2 linked regions of the Mus musculus genome follow. The main gene of each other region encodes a partner of the protein of the gene in region 2 in a complex. Links are inferred from orthologs where the notes say so. Each region holds a gene or a part of one and is shown on either strand. Other genes may lie near its edges.

The links.
Region 1: the proteins of S100b (region 2) and Capza1 are in contact, whole or in part, in an NMR structure (PDB 1MQ1), measured with the Homo sapiens proteins. The link is inferred for Mus musculus from reciprocal best matches to the Homo sapiens genes S100B and CAPZA1. Residues at the interface, in NP_006263.1 of Homo sapiens: Glu46, Glu47, Lys49, Val53, Lys56, Val57, Thr60, Phe77, Met80, Val81, Ala84, Cys85, Glu87; in NP_006126.1 of Homo sapiens: Thr265, Arg266, Ile269, Asp270, Trp271, Asn272, Lys273, Ile274, Leu275.

What each region holds. Positions count from the first base shown.
Region 1 is NC_000069.6:104,839,046-104,846,895, forward strand, and holds part of Capza1 (F-actin-capping protein subunit alpha-1), read right to left. Parts: intron 5,937-7,850; coding exon 5,873-5,936; intron 3,668-5,872; coding exon 3,616-3,667; intron 1,847-3,615; coding exon 1,783-1,846; intron 944-1,782; coding exon 737-943; intron 1-736. UniProt on the Homo sapiens protein: F-actin-capping proteins bind in a Ca(2+)-independent manner to the fast growing ends of actin filaments (barbed end) thereby blocking the exchange of subunits at these ends.
Region 2 is NC_000076.6:76,249,799-76,258,147, reverse strand, and holds the start of S100b (protein S100-B), read right to left. Parts: upstream 4,313-8,349; 5' UTR 4,190-4,312; intron 1,122-4,189; 5' UTR 1,114-1,121; coding exon 976-1,113; intron 1-975. UniProt on the Homo sapiens protein: Small zinc- and- and calcium-binding protein that is highly expressed in astrocytes and constitutes one of the most abundant soluble proteins in brain.

The sequences.
Region 1 (7,850 bases), on a different chromosome or scaffold from region 2:
AAAACCCACAAACAAATAAACATCAAAAAACAAAAAACAAAAACAAAAAGCTAAAAACCCAGTAAGCTAAGCATGATACAATCAACTATAAATCCCACCACCCACTCCGCACTCTCAGTAGATGCCTCATAGTCCAGGCTACCCTCTAACTTTTGTAGAGTGGACAACAGCCTTGAACTCCTGATGCCCCTGCCCCTACTTTCCAAATGTTTTAAGATTACAAGTATATTATCAAACCTGGTTTTAATAACTTTTTGATGGGTAGAGGTGATTTATTGTGAGTAAATAAGAGAAATATAAAATGTAATATATGGATATTTTAAAGTGTTATACACTGAGATTTTAAAAACAAATTTTCTAGGGCTGGAGAAACTGCTCAGTAATTAGGAGCATATACTACTTTAGCAGAGGCCCTGGATTTAAACCCTGGAATCCATGTCAGGCGGCTTAAACATCTGTAAGTGCATGTTCAGGGAACAAATGTCTCTAACCTCCAGGGGCACCTGGGCTTACATGCAATCCCTCCCTCCACTCATACTTAATTAAAAAACAATAAAAGCAAATCTTTAAGAAAGAAATTTCAAAAATTTAGAAATTATTTAAGGAATAAAATAAGGAGATGACAATAACCAAGAGAAAAGAAGTAAAGTCTGGTGGGGCAAAGGTTCAAAAGGGTAAGGTAAGCGTAAGAAAAGTAACTTTAATCTGTTCTCCGAGGGACAGGCAGATACTTAACAGTACAGAAGCCGTTGGAATAATGATCTTTCACATAGGCTCTCAGAGCACTGTCACACGACTCCCTCCAAGACTTCAAGCCTCCATCCACATCCTCTGGCTGCGGGTCACTTGCTTCTTTCCGTAAATGATCAAACTTAAAGGAAATTTGGTTTCTTGGATCTAAAAATCTGCTGTTACCAAGGTCACCATGCTCTGTAATTAAGACCTTCCAGAGAAGAATTACAAATATAAGTAGTTCTATAAAAAAGACAATTCTTATGTTTTGCAAAAAGAAATAATATCCTAAGAAAATTAACTTTTAATTTCTTTTCCACAATGACTTTTAAAGCACGTATCATTTTTATTCTCATAAAAATAAAACAATGTTTTCTTCCTCCCAACAATACCCTTTATATCTTGATTTCTAGCTAATGTATTATCCATGTATATATATTTATACTAGCACACCAATTCTCATGTATTCATTTTTACATATTTTATAAAATTTTTCAGGGCCATTGTATTATTGTGAGCACTTAAGTAATACAGCTACATGGTCCAAAAATGTACTAAATGAAATCCTTTTCGTGTTCCTATCTCCTAAGCAGCAGATTCCTTGAGTAACTTAGGCTAATTCTAAATTAATGTCTCTGCTATTTTTGTTAGACTTCCTCTGCACTGCTCTGGAACCTACATGTCAAGTCAATGGCACTCTTTTTTCCTATGGGTTGGTGGTGGTGGGGAACCCACCTAATATTACCAGAAAGAAGATTTTTTTTTTTTTTTTTTTTTTTGGTTTTTCGAGACAGGGTTTCTTTGTGTAGTCCTGGCTGTCCTGGAACTCACTCTGTAGACCAGGCTGGCCTCGAGCTCAGAAATCTGCCTGCCTCTGCCTCCCAAGTGCTGGGATTAAAGGCATGCGCCACCATGCCCGGCTAAGAATTTTTAAATATGTAGACTATTTTAAAAATCAAAGACATAAATATATTAACAGCCAATTTCCTATCTGCTCTGGCTTTTACATCTCTACTACCCGGCACAGACCGTGGAACAGGCAGTCATTACCTGGTCATCGTAGCCTTCTATCTTCACGGGTGTGAACTGATCCATGTTATACTGGGCAAATGCACTAGTTAAAGAAAGAATTGAAAAAGTCAATAGTATCTCTACTTTAGCAGCTACTTTAATCCAAACACTTTGAAGCCATCCTTAACTGTTCTTTCTGACACTTTATCTCCAACCCACAGGTCTAAGAGAAGTGTGACCAGAATCTTACTCCCCAGGCTCGCTTCTCCTCTGAACTATCACTGCCTTGCCTCACTGCAGCCTCTGCCCACTTACAACGTTACTAGAACACATAGCTGGTAAGTAAGTATTCTAAACCCTAAGTCTTACCACATCATTCTCTATTTCACTTACCAATGTCATCTCATTCAAAATGAAACTCACGCTTTAATGTGACATTTAACATCCTACCTATACTACAAGTGCTAGGCACTATCAGGGAATGGTACTGTGGTTAGAACCACTGGCTCCAAAATACAAAAAAGAAAGTAAATCCTAGGCCGATCTAGTGTATTATCTTTACCCAGCTACAATAAAGCCTCCTTCTGCTTATACAGGAAGCAATAAAGATGGCGAGCATCACTGAAACAGCATGTACTAGGCACCAACAAGAGTCTGGTCAAGAGCATTTCATTACAGAAATAAAAGTTAACTTTTCTTCCTCTCTTTTTTCTCCCCTTTCTCTAGTCCAGGCTTCTCTGTGCAACCTTGGTAGTTCTAGAACTCACTCTGTAGACCAGGCTGGCCTCAAACTCAGAGATCTGCCTGCCTCTGCCTCTCTAGTGCTGAGATTAAAGGTGTGCGCCACCACTGCCCAGATAAAAGAGAATTTTTTATTCCCATAAAAAAACTTAAATAATTGGACTCAGGAAAAAACAAAACAAACTTCTTTAATATGTAGGTTCTCTAAGAAATCTGCAAGACTTTGAACACATACACACACACACACACTCACATACACACATATACACTCACACACACACACTCACATACACACATATACACACACACTCTCACACACTCACATACACACTCTCTCTCACACACACTCACTCACATACACACATATACACTCACACACACACTCTCTCACACACACACACTCACATACATACACACACACTCACACACACACTCACATACATACACACAAACTCACACACACATACACTCACACACACATACACTCACACACACATACACTCACACACACACACTCACATACACACTCTCTCTCACACACACACACTCACATACACACATATACACTCACACATACACACTCTCTCACACACACACATACATACACACACTCTCACACACTCACACACACATACACACACACTCACATACACACACACACTCTCTCTCTCTCACACACACACACACACACACACACACACACACACACACACACACACACTCTCACACACACACAGAGCTTTAGTGTCTGTGGGTGTAATTAAAGCAGTCAAAGCATCTGAACTCTGTATTGGCGTAACCATTCCTAACTGGAAATCAGGACATTTGAGTTAGAGCAGCATTTTTCAACCTGTGGGTCATGATTATGAATTAATATGGCTATGGACTAAACACTGTTGACCATGGAGTAACAAACAAACAAACACATTCTTTTAAGAGTCTATTCCCTCAAATACATGGTCATAGCTGTAACAGAAAACCAGAGACTAATTGCTGTCTGTTACTGTCACCAGCTTACCCACTGTTAGAGGGATGAACGGGGCCGCTGGTCTGCAGTGCTGACCCACTGAGTACCTTGCCCAGGCTGGCCGAGCTCTCTGACACCCACCCGTGGATTTAGGAGGTACTTACTGTGCTGCCCCTTCCCTGAGGAGATTGTCATTGTTAAGCAGTAGCCGGACATCTGAGGAGGAAAGCATTGGAATACTGAGTACAGAACAAACTCAAGAAATTTTAGCCCATTTCTAGAATATGTTTTTAAAATTCAGGGCTTGCAAGATGAATCTTCAGTTATAATCTATGTGTGGAAACTCTAAACATAGCACTGAGTAATGGACAGCAGTGTTCAGAGGTTCCTACAGAATTGTCTGCTATAATAACCCAACAAAAATTCCCAAGGAAGTTATTCATCTCTCTTTCCTGCTCACCTTTCACTCCTTCTTAACAGGATCTCAAACTCAGGTTGGCTTGAAATTCCTTTATGTAGCAGCTACAAATGACCTTGATCACCATGCCCAGTTTATGCCATGGCAGGGACTAAATCTAGGGGTTCGTGTATGCTATGTAGGCCCTCTACCAACTGAGCTACATTAGGACATTTTTCTTAATTTGTCTGAGACAAGAGTCTCTGAGTTGGCCTCAAACTTACTTTGTAGCTAAGGCTAAGACAACTCTTTTTTTTTTTCCTTTCTTTCGTTTCAGGTTTCTCTTTCTTGGCTGTCCTGGAACTTGCTGTCTGGCCTAGGCTATGATGGAGCTCACAGAGATCCACCTGCTTCTGCTTCCTGAGCACTAGGATTAAAGACATGTGCCACCATGCCAAGCAGGGCTTTGAGTTTTCCATCCTCCTGCTTCCACCTCCCAAGTGCTGGGATTATGCGTATACACCACCATACCTGGCAGAGATAAACCATCTGAAAACCAAGATCTCTTTTTTTTTTTAGTTTTGAGACCAGGTTTCACTATGCAGTCTAGGTTTCCCTGAATTTGTAATCCTCCTGTACCAGCACCCAAGTGCTGGGATCACCACACCTCCCCAAGTAGTATACGGAAGAGATGGCAGTCTTGAAGGGATGGTAAAGGTCAGTTTGTAAATTGACTGATTTACTAAATTTACTGGCTTTTTCTGATTTTTGTTTTTTAAACAAAGGTTCATTCTATACCCTTGGCTGGTCTGAATGAGAGTAATCCTCCTGCTTCAGCCTCCTGGGTACTGAGATTACAGGCATGGGCCACCATTTCTGTGTGAATCTGAATTTGTTTGTTTTGTTTTCTGAGACAGGGTTTCTTTATGTAGCCTGGGATGTCCTGGAACTCTGTAGACCAGGCTGGCCTCAAATCCAGGGATCTGCCTGCCTCTGCCTCCCAAGCACTAGTATTAAAGATGTGTATCATCTGAACTTAATAAGCTTCATATACGATCTGAAGTTCAGCCACAATAGTCCTGGGAAATGTCCTCTGTATAGGACTTGAGGAAAGGCAGTGAAAATTGAAGCTTTTATCTTTCATGATAAAACTAAAAGGTACAGGAAGAATAAAAAAGTAATAAATTTGAAAAGTCAATTTATTGTCATTCCTTTAAAATATGAACTATATTAAATCTCTAGTCACTTTTTTTTTTTCCCGAGACAGGGTTTCTCTGTGTAGCCCTGGTTGTCCTGGAACTCACTCTGTAGACCAGGCTGGCCTCGAACTCAGAAATCCGCCTGCCTGTGCCTCTCAAGTGCTGGGATTAAAGGCGTGCACCACCACCGCCCGGCTTCTATTCACTTCTTTTTAGTTTTGAGACAACCTTTCGTCCAGGTTGTACTGGAGCTTGCAGCAATCTCCCTTCTTCAGCACCTCAGGGCTGTCCCAGGGTTGGAACTGTAGATGTGAGCCACAAGACAGCTATCGGAAGTCTTTGCTTATCTGAGAGCAATCTCCTAATTGATGGATTAGGCAAAGCTAAGTATTTGACCTAAACCTAGAACTGAATCTTAACTTTCACACTCAGCTGCTGAGTTGCCTTAAACAAATGATTTCAGTGTTTCTGAATGCCGATTTCTTTCGAAAAGGCTGTAAGAGGTAACGACCAGTGAAGAGTACGCACTCACTGCTAGCTGTGTTGGTGCACGCCTGTGCTCTAGCACTCAAGAGTTCAGTCTAGCCGGGCCTCAGAAGACCAACGTTTTGAAAGAGAAGAGCTGGTGAGCTACCTCGGAGCTTGCTGCTAGGCCTGAGGACCTGAGCTCAGCTCTCAGCACCCATGTGGGAGAACAAAGAACTGAGGCTCACAAGGTGCCCCCTCTCCTAAAAAAATGAAATAAAAATTTAAAAAGAAAAAAGGGAGAAAGCTAGATAGTGACAGTGATTAAGGAGTACTCACTCAATATTAATCTTTACTTACCATTGAATACTTCATTAAACTCCCCTGGGGGTGCATGGGTGATGAATTTAGCGGCTATGCGGACCTAAAGAAAAATAAAATTTATAGTATAATAAGTGTACTGTGAAGAGAAACATGCAGCTGTTTATTACAGTCGAGCATCATCTGATCCTAGCACTGAAAAGACAAGTAGATCTTGAGTTTAAGGTCAGCCTGGGCATATAGCAGGACTGTATCTACCTCCACCCCACAAAGAGAAGGCCAACAAGACAATTTTTTTAAAAGATTTTTGAAAATTTATTTTATACATATGAGTACACTGTCACTGTCTTCAGACACACCAGAAGAGGGCACCAGATCCCATTACAGATGGCTGTGAGCTACCATGAGGTTGCTGGGAATTGAACTCTGGAAGAGCAGTCACTGCTGTCAACCCCTGAGCCATTTCTCCATCCCCAAGACAATTTAAAAAGTAACATGTAAATGCAAATAACAAACCATTACAATGGCTTATCTTAATTTTTTCCCATTTCATTCCTATTTTATTTGTACATGCAGTGCCCAGGTGCCCAGAGGCCAGAACAGGATGTCATTTCTCCTGGAAGTGAAGTTATACAGCAGTGAGCTGCCACGTGGGTGCTGGGAATCAAATCCCAGTCCTCTAGACATGCAGCCAGTGCTCTTGACCAGAGCCATCTTTCCAACACCATTGTTTGTTTGAAAGACTTATTTATCTTTACTTATGTGTGTGCCCCTGTATTGTGCTGGTATCCAGAGGCCAGACGCAGGCATCTAATCCTTGGAACTGGAGTTGTGGGCAACTGTAAGTCACCCATAACCAGAAATCCATCTCTGAACCACTGCAAGAGCAGCAAAGACTCTTTCCTGGTGAGCCATCTCTACAGCCTTTTGTTCTTTTTAACATGATCTCATGTAGCTCAGGCTAGCTCAAACTTATTATATAACTGCTCTTGCCTACAATTCCCTCTACAAGAATTATTGGTGTGCACAGCCAGTTTTACGTGGTGCTGGGATATAACTCAAGGCTTTCTGCACACTAGTCAAATAATCTATCAACTGAGCTACATTCCCTGCGTACAATATCTCTTGAAAAAAAATACTTAAACTTTACTGTTTAGAAGCCTTTATATTTTTCCACAAAACATTTTGTTTTTATCAATTATAGGTATATCTTATAATATGCATGTTATCAGTCATTTTGAATTAAAAATAACATTTACTTTTAAATGTGTGTATTTTATGTCCAAGTGTCCAGGAGGCTGTTGGTCTGCGTTCTGCCTGCCTCAGGGCATGGCCACTTGGGAGGCAAAACTTGGGGAGTTTGATTGCAGTCCACAGGCCCAGGACTGGGGTGGGGGAGGGTGTGTGGTGTGTGTAAGTGCATCCCAAACTCCCTGATATCTAGGTGTCTGTGAGTCACAAGGAGTTGGGAGCAGGGTCTGGTGTGTGGGCTGGGGATGGTGTCTAACCTTGGTCTGGGTGGGGGTGGAGGTGGGGGTGGGAGGAAGCTCCAGCTTAGATCAGTGGTGATTGTCCTTAGCTTGGCTGTGGTTCTGGCTGGAAGCACAAAGAGGCCTTCTGCAGACCCCCATTATGCTCCCCATGGCCATTCTTATGAAAAAGACAGCCCAAGGCTCTACTGTTTATCTGATTGTTCATCATGGAAAATGGATGCATAGCTTATTACTGTACCAACTTCTCAGGGTGGACCTAGGATTAAATACCTGTTGCAGGGAAAGTTTATTGGCTAAACCCTCAGGGCCTCTAGGTACCTCATTAGCACGGATAACTCTGTTCTGGGCCTACTTGACCACAGGTCATGTTTCCTTCTGTGGGGAGTGTGGCATGTACGTGTTCCAGGCCAGGAATCTGGCAGGGAACGGGGTGTACCCAAGCCTCTGAGTTTCTGGTTCTCATAACTGTTCTACCTTACCAAGCTTCCTGGCATGGTTTACAGTCTCACAGGAGGCTGAGGAGG
Region 2 (8,349 bases):
GGACACATTCATTGTATGCCACCAGCGTTCCCATATCGTTCAAGGCGTGCTGTGAGCCTTGGTTTAGGGGACCAAGGGAGCACTGGGTGGCAGTTGGATCACAGTTCACCTCCACGGGAGCACTTGGTTTGTAGGCAGTAGAAACGCTAATAAACTGATTCAAGGGCAGAGGAGACAGTGGGTAAGGAAGTGAGTGTTTTCACTACCAGAATATTAACTGCCCAAAGACGAGCAGCTTGCCAGGAACTCTTCTGCAACTCCCTAAGTGGACTCCAAACTAAATTTAGGCCCTGATGTCATATGCTCTCGGGAGCCCTTCCTCCCCTCGGGCAAGTATTCACTCGTGGGCATGCTAGGTTGGGTGCTTTGTGAGTCCCTGTATCTCAAATATTGAATTATTGAGTGATCATTAAATGTTTATTTAATCTCTGATATTTCTTTGTAGGAAGTACCAGACAGCTAGACAAAGCGAAAAGATTTCTTCCCCTCCCCGAAACTTCTCATGCTTTGAAAAAAAAGTGTCTGTGTGTGTGTCTGTGTGTGTGTGAGTGTACATGCCTACGTACTCTCACACCATGGTACACACATGGAATTGGTCTTGCCGTGTAGATCCCAGCAGTCAAACTCAGCTCATCAGGCTTGGTGGCAGGTGCGTTTGCCTGCTAAGCGTTCTCACCGGCCTTGTTCTGTTTTAAGAGATGGCCCAGGCTGGCTTCCTGCTTCCACCTTTGAAGTACAAGGACTACAGATGCGTGCTGACGTATCCTAAGTGTCACTTGTGAGTGGCTTACAATTCTCTTCTGCTGCCCTCACCCATGGATCCTTAGATTCAAGGGATAGAAACAGCCCCTCTGAGCTCATACTCCAAGGGCTTAGCCATTCAAACTAATATCCAGAAGCAACCCAGGGTCTGGATACAGAGACAGGAGCAGACATAAGGACCATTTCTAGTGCAGCTCAGAGATGGTCTCTTACCTCCAGGAAGTGAGAGAGCTCGTTGTTGATAAGCTCCTTCAGTTCTGACTTCTTCAGCTTGTGCTTGTCACCCTCTCGCCCGGAGTACTGGTGGAAGACATCAATGAGGGCAACCATGGCCTTCTCCAGCTCGGACATCCCGGGAGCTGCAGAGGAAGGATACGTTTTCATGTTTTCTACCCTGTTCTTTGGAGAGCTTAATACGTTGTTCTCAGGCCTCAGCTCAGATGAGGGGTAGAGAGGCCTACCAGGGAGAGGCATCCTGGGATCCACGCTGACCAGGGTTCATCCTCTTTTGCCCAGGCCCACCCTGTCCCTTCTATGTCCCCATAGGCTACAGAGCGAAGTTTCCAAGACCATTGGTTTCTGGTTGGGTTTGGCCAATGAGAAACTAGCAAAGATGCTAATGCAAAGCATTAGGGAATGACTCCGGGTCTTCCTGGTGGCTATTCCCAATCCCAGAGGTCTCCAGGATATACCATCAGCTGATGGATTTAAGAAAGACACTAAGATGACTAGTAACAAGTAAATATCTACCTGTACACACGCACACACACACACACACACATCACTATCAGTGAACCATTTTTAAAATGCAGTAACAGCTTCCTCATACAGCAATAATATCAGGGGTTAGGAGGAAAAATGCAGGTACTTCCAAAAGATTCTGAGGAACAAGATTAAGAATGTTCTGGCTAGTTTTATATCAGCTTGGCACAAGCTAAAGCCCTTTCTCAGAGACAGGAACCTCAATTAAGAAAAACGCCCTCATAAGATCCAGCTATAGAGCATTTTCTTCAGTAGTGATCGATGAGGGAGGGCTGAGCCCATTGTGGGTGGTGCCATCCCTGGGCTGGTGGTCCTGGGTTCTATAAGAAAGCAGGCTGAGCAAGCCAGTAAGCAGCATCCCTCCATGGCCTCTGCATCACCAGCTCCTGCCCTCGGGATCCTGCCCTGCTTGAGTTCCTGTCCTGAATCCCTATGATGATGATCTGTGATGTGGACGCCAAAGCTGAATGGCCCTTCCTCCCCAACTTGCTTTTTGGTTATGGTGTTCATCTTAGTAATAAAAACCCTAACAAAGAGCTTATTTTCATTTGAATTAATATATTAGTTTAAGATGTATAAATAAAATATGAGTGAGGTTTTTTTGGGGGGGGATGGGGGACAAACCAAAAATATATATATAAAAAATAAAGACTGTAAAATTCCTGTACCAAGTTTTTGAAAACTACCAGTGAAGTGACCTTGCAGAAACACGTACTCCAAGGTCATATGGTTCTCCTGGCATCCTGACAGGGCGACGGAGGCCCAGCCCTGAGTTCTGTGCTTGCTTCATTGGCCTGGCCTCAGAGTACAGCAGCTTCTTTGTGAACAGGCATGCATGCCTGAGAGAAGCAAACAGCCTTTGCAGTGGGCACCTGATGCCACAGCCACAGCCCGGGGATTCAGGGAGGGCCGCTCGATTATCTGAGGAACTTCATTAACATTAAGCCATTAAGGGTGGCTCTGGGATCATTTTAGAAACCAGCCTCTTAGGCAGAGACATTTGGCAGCTCCTAGCCTCGAGTTCTGATCCTTAAACCAGAACCTGCACTGTCATAATTAAACAAAGGTTCAAAAGTCATTTCCATGTTGAACATGTTACATTTTAGAATACAACTTTCGTAGCTTTTTACATTTTTATTAAGGATCTCCCAAAAGAAACGAAGGTTTTCGCCCTGTATTGGCTCTCTGGTTCTTTGGTTTGTTCATGTTTTCCAAAGACACCTGAAGTACCTCATATAAGAAGAACAACCCAGATAGACAAAATGTAACATTCTCTCTTAGTCTCTTAACTTGAGTTTTTAGTTACTGTTGGTCTTTTAGCTAAAAGAAAATCCTATGTGTCTGGGTGTTTTGCCTACAGGTATGTCTCTGTAGCGTGCATGCCTGGTGCCCGCAGAGGCCAGAAGAAGGTGTTAGATCACTGGGAACTGGAATTACAGTCAGTAATTCCATGTGGATGCTGGACTGAACCATCTCAACAGCCCCGGTTACTGTTTTTGTTTGTCTTTTTTTTTTATGAAAGAAAATATGTTTAGTCCCATGGGGAGGGGAGGGAGGAGAGGGGAGGGAAGGACAGGCACAGAATTATCTGCCCTTTTTCCTTTTTAGATTGAGATGGGGGTCTCACTGTCCCCAGATTCTCTTCTAAATAATGATCTCCTTGTCTCTACTCTCCCAAGGGTTGGCTCATACCCAGCACAGTTATTGATTTAAAAAAAAAGTCTTCAGAGATTCTGTGTCATACTGATACTGCTCAAAGTCCTAACGGCTGGGGGAGGGAGAGCTAAATGATCTTTTTGTGGATAAGGACTAAGACTTAAAAGTAAATGGTGAAACACCATATCCCATAGGCAAAAAATAAATAAATAAATAAAAATTTATTTTTTCATGACTATATTAAAAATTCAAAAATCTCCCTATTCTTTCAACTAAGGAAGCATTGGTTTGTTGTCTGCCTTCTAAGACAAACGGATGAGTCTTTATAAAGAAACACAGGGCTGGAGCTTCTTGGGATGGCACTGCCTGTAAGGTGAGGGGTCCCCACAGAGACCACCCTTCCCCAGGAGGGATGACAGGAAAGTCAGGAGCCACCCCCAAACCTTCATCTCTCTGTCCCAATTCATAATGATTTGAAAAGTTTCAACTGCTTTGGATTTTTCTTTTTTGAGCAGTGTCTGGAGATGTAGCTCTTGGCGTTTCGAATAGGAAAACTGGAAAAGCTCACAGGGGTGCTCCAGGGACCCCGGGAAAAGTTGCCATGAAGAAAGGGGAGCTGCGGTTGGAGATTTGGGGTAACCCTATTCCAGGAAAGGAAATCCTTCCCTTAGGACTCAGAGAAGACGCACTGTGCGCCATCTCCAAAAACATCGGCAGTCATTCTGAAGTTCTAACTATGGCCTAAGGTTTCCCTGGTTTAATGAAAACAAAACCAAAGACAATCCCCCCGCTGTAACACAGACACTGCATAGTCAGTGTCAGCCGCAGTCACAAGGAAACAGTAAAGGCAGCCTAATCAGCAGCTCTGAAATGCCACCAAATGTCCCCAAAGGTCTCTTAAAAAAAAAAATTCTTAAAGCTCAGTTCCCATTCTATCCCTGTCACCCCTCACCCTCCGAGGAAAGAAAAAAGCAGGTTTTCTCTTGGGTCCTGTCAGTGGCTTTCTCACCTCCTGGTCACCTTTGCTGCTGGAGTCCTCTCTGGCTTCAGTGTCCGAGTAACAGGAGTGTAGACAGAACAGCTTCTTATTCTTCCTGCAGAGAGAACTGGGTGTGGGCTTGGCGCAGTCCACTGCAGGCTGAGGCTGCCAATGGGGGCCAAGGATAGGGAGGAGTTAGACACCCAGGCCTGCATACAGGGCCCCATTGAGTGGTACCCTGGGGATCCACTGGGCAGCCACAACTGGACTTGATCTAGAAAGAATACGGGTCTGTTGGGTAGGAAGTGTAGAGTCAGCTTCTCTGCACCTTTTAAATGTATTACATGAACATTGGCCCAGTTCCAAAGGCAAGGCTGGGGTTGGGAAGAGGAGAGAGACAACGTGGGTGAATTGATTTAAACAGCAAATCTGCAGCCAAGAACTGGAAACTTCTCATGCTGAGTGCTGGAGACTGTGTGGCCCTGACTGGCTTCTAAGGAGGCCTCTTGAACATCTTGCTTGTCTGCCAGCTTCCTGGTCCCCTCCTGCAGGTATGCCATGCTGGGGCTGGTGATGCTGGGTAGTGGTTACCCCCAGACTCCTCTTTGAGCCCAGTATTCTCAGGGACCAGCATGCAGTAAGTTAGTTACATACTTAGTACTTGTTGCACCTAGGGAAAGACCTGCCAGCTCTTGTCTTGGGGCTCTCTCTCCCTACCCTGGTCAAAGGTTATGAGTTGTCTGAGCCAGAAATGCCTGTCCTGTGCTGTGCTCTTTTTGCATAGGGAAGAAATGTTGCACCTCTTGTCAAGGCACAAAATGACCCCAGAAAGCAGTCTGTTCCTAACTGCCTATCTTCAGCAGCACTACACCTGAGCTTCAAATGGCATCAATTGTGCGCTCTTGCCCAGAAATGAGCAGTTGAGCTGGAGAGATGGCTCAGAGGTTAAGAGCATTGGCTGCTTTTCCAGAGGTCCTGAGTTCAATTCCCAGCAACCACATGGTGGCTCACAATCATCTATAATGAGGTCTGGTGCCCCCTTCTAGTGTAGAGGTGTACATGCAAGCAGAACACTGTATACATAATATCTTTTTAAAAATAAAAATAAAAAAAAGAAATCAGAAGTGAGCAGTCCTTTTGAATAATCACACAGAAGCAATGGCCCAAGCTGACCAAGCAAGAGAGGATAGCTTAGTCACACTTCCCTTTGCCCCTCGTGTTCCAAGTGTCTGTGGGAAGAGCTACATGACAAAAGACACCCAAATATCACAGAGACCAAGGGGTTGACTAGACATGTTAGGGCTCCAGTAAAGCTTCTCCACCTTGAGGAAAGGGGGCAGTGTCTCTTAGCTTTGGGGCAGAGGTATAAACTCCTACTCTGGTTCCTCCCTATTACAGGGGGCAACTCACCATTTATCTACATGAGATCAAAGCCACTGGTTCACAAAGATTAGGTCCCCTACTCTTCTTAGTCCCCAGTAGACAATAAAAGGGAGACTCAGGGAGACCATGATAATCATGACTGGGAAGGTTCCCTCACTTTGTGAGGTTGCTCAGGGTACTGGATGATCAAGGCATCTCTAACCCCTCTCTGGCCATTTTTCAGTCAGTTACACTGACTTTAAGGAGAGATCTTCAAACCCCTGTGTGTGTGTGTCTGTGTGTGTGTTGATCATCAAATCCCAGACAAGCCCCTGCAAATGGTACAGGAGTCTTGGGTGAGGAGTCTCTGGTTCCTGTGGAATAGACAAAGAATTCTACATCCTGGAAAGAAGACACACTCAGGAAAATGAAGTGACAGTTAGAGAGCAAGATGGGCCGCCGAGGTCTGGCAGCTGGAGACCTGAAGTAGGAGACATAAAAGCAGTCCCTACAGCCCAGTGAGAGTAGCCGAGATCCTCTGAGGCTCCTAGACAGAAATGAGGCAGGGACACCAACATGGCTGCCACTGGGAGGAAAGTAGAGATCCTAAGGGTCCCTGGCAGAAAATACCAGTACAGAGAATGTGGACAGCAGACAGAGTGAAAGTAAGTTACAGATTGTATCGATCGCCCTGGAACTGGCCTTAACATTTTATTATTTTTTCTTTCTTTACTTATTGTTTATATTTATTTAGGTGTTTTGAGACAGGGTTTTTCTGTGTGGCCTTGGCAGTCCAGGAACTCGCTTTGTAGACCAGGTTCATCTGGAACTCACAGAGATACACCCACCTCTGCTTCCCAAGCGCTGGGATTAAAGGTGCACTGCACTGCCACAGCCAAGCCACCCTTAACATTTTTTTTTAAAGTTAGTTTTTGGATAACTTTATAGTCTCAATCACCTAGAATGAAAGTATATCCAAATACTAAAGTCGTTGAGAATAGAAAACAGATAACAAACTGGGCTTTAAAAAAACCAAAACCAAAACAAAACAAAACAAAAATCCACAAATGTGTTGGAAAGATATAACTCAAAGAATAAAAGTCACAGTGTTTATAGAGAGCCTGATTTCAGATCCCAGAACCACATTGGGTGGCTCACAATCAATTATAACTATTGTTTCAGGGGATTCAGCTCCATAGGCAGTATACTTGTGTTCTTGCATACACACTCACACACCACAAACACACACACACACCACAGAAACACACAAACATACACCACACACACACCACACAAACACACACATACCACAACACCCCCCCCCACACACACACACATATACCAAAGACTTTCAAAAACTATACAAGAGCTCGGGTCTTACCTACAAAACAAAAAACAAAAACATTACACTTTAGAGTATGGGCTATTGACATCCCAGGTGGCTTCCGGTTATCTTAGCCTTCAGCCTCTCTAGCGCCTGCTTTTGGCATGACCTACTCAAATTGTTCTTTGTCCGCTTTTCTGTCCACCCCCTAGACCTGCTATCCATCTGTCTGTTGCTTTGTCTGGCCCTGGCCCTGCTCCTTTGCCTCTGCAGCGGGACTCAGGGCTGCACAATAGCAGTAGCTGTGCTTGCTCACCGATCTCCAGCGGGTTTTTATTTTACCCCTTAGAGACTTCATTTGTTTCCATTTCCTAGCTTTAGCTTTTTAGCAACTTAGGCCTCTTTGAAACATCTTTAACTCTTTGTAACCATTCTGTATCAGGTGTGTGTGTGTGTTGGAAAGATAGCTCAGTGAATAAACATTTGTAATGCTTATAGAGGACCTCATTTCAGTTCCCAGCACCTACATTGAGTGGCTCACAATCAGCTGTAACTCTAGTTCCAAGGGATGGTAGATAGTGTATGGTATATAATACAATCATACCTATATAAATGTATGTGTATATGATATAATCATATCTATATAAATGTGTGTATATGAATATATATTTATGGCATTATATGGAATATGTGATCGGACAGTTAATATTAGTTATTAAGGCTGAAATAGAAGAACCTGTGTTTGCCTCAGCCAAGGTTATCAAGGAAAACAAGAGTACCTGGCAAATTGCCGCACATGTAAATCAGAAGACACTGAGAGAGCTTACGATTGGGGTACCAGTGGCACTGAGGTAGATTCTCCTTCTGAGTTAGATATTTATCAGCATACTTATTAATGCTATAGGCAAGAGATTAGTTATTAATGCTACATACAAGAGATCTATTAGAATAGTTAATAACACCAAAGAGGGACACAGCATAGCAGGGCCAATATGGCACAGTGATGGGGGTTCCTTATAGGTTTCAGAGGAAGGAAGGCTTCATCTCATATAGGTGCTGGATAGACCATAGTGCACTCCTGTAGAGAGACCCCCACACATACACACACAGGGGATGGAGACCAGTGTGTGTGTCCTGAATTCTACAGAAGGAAATGCATAGCTCTGACAAGGTAGGGAGGAGAGGCACGGTTATTATATATATGAATATGCTGCCACTGGTAGCTCTTCTGATGTCTTCAAGTCTGGTGTTCTGTCCATGTCCTTGGAAATGAGAATTATGGCTGGCACCTGCTCAACTCCTGGAATCTGGAGACCTGGGGAGTCTGTTAGAGGCCTAGGGATTCACAGACGGGAAGAGGCCGTGGCCTGGTTAGACCCTAGCCCCAACGCTAACAGACAAGCATGCTCGCCTATGTCTCTGGGCTCTGTGTTCTTACCACTGTCCCCTTGAGCCTTTGTCTCACAGGCTTCTCCACAGCAAGCTTCCAGGAGGGAGGCCATCA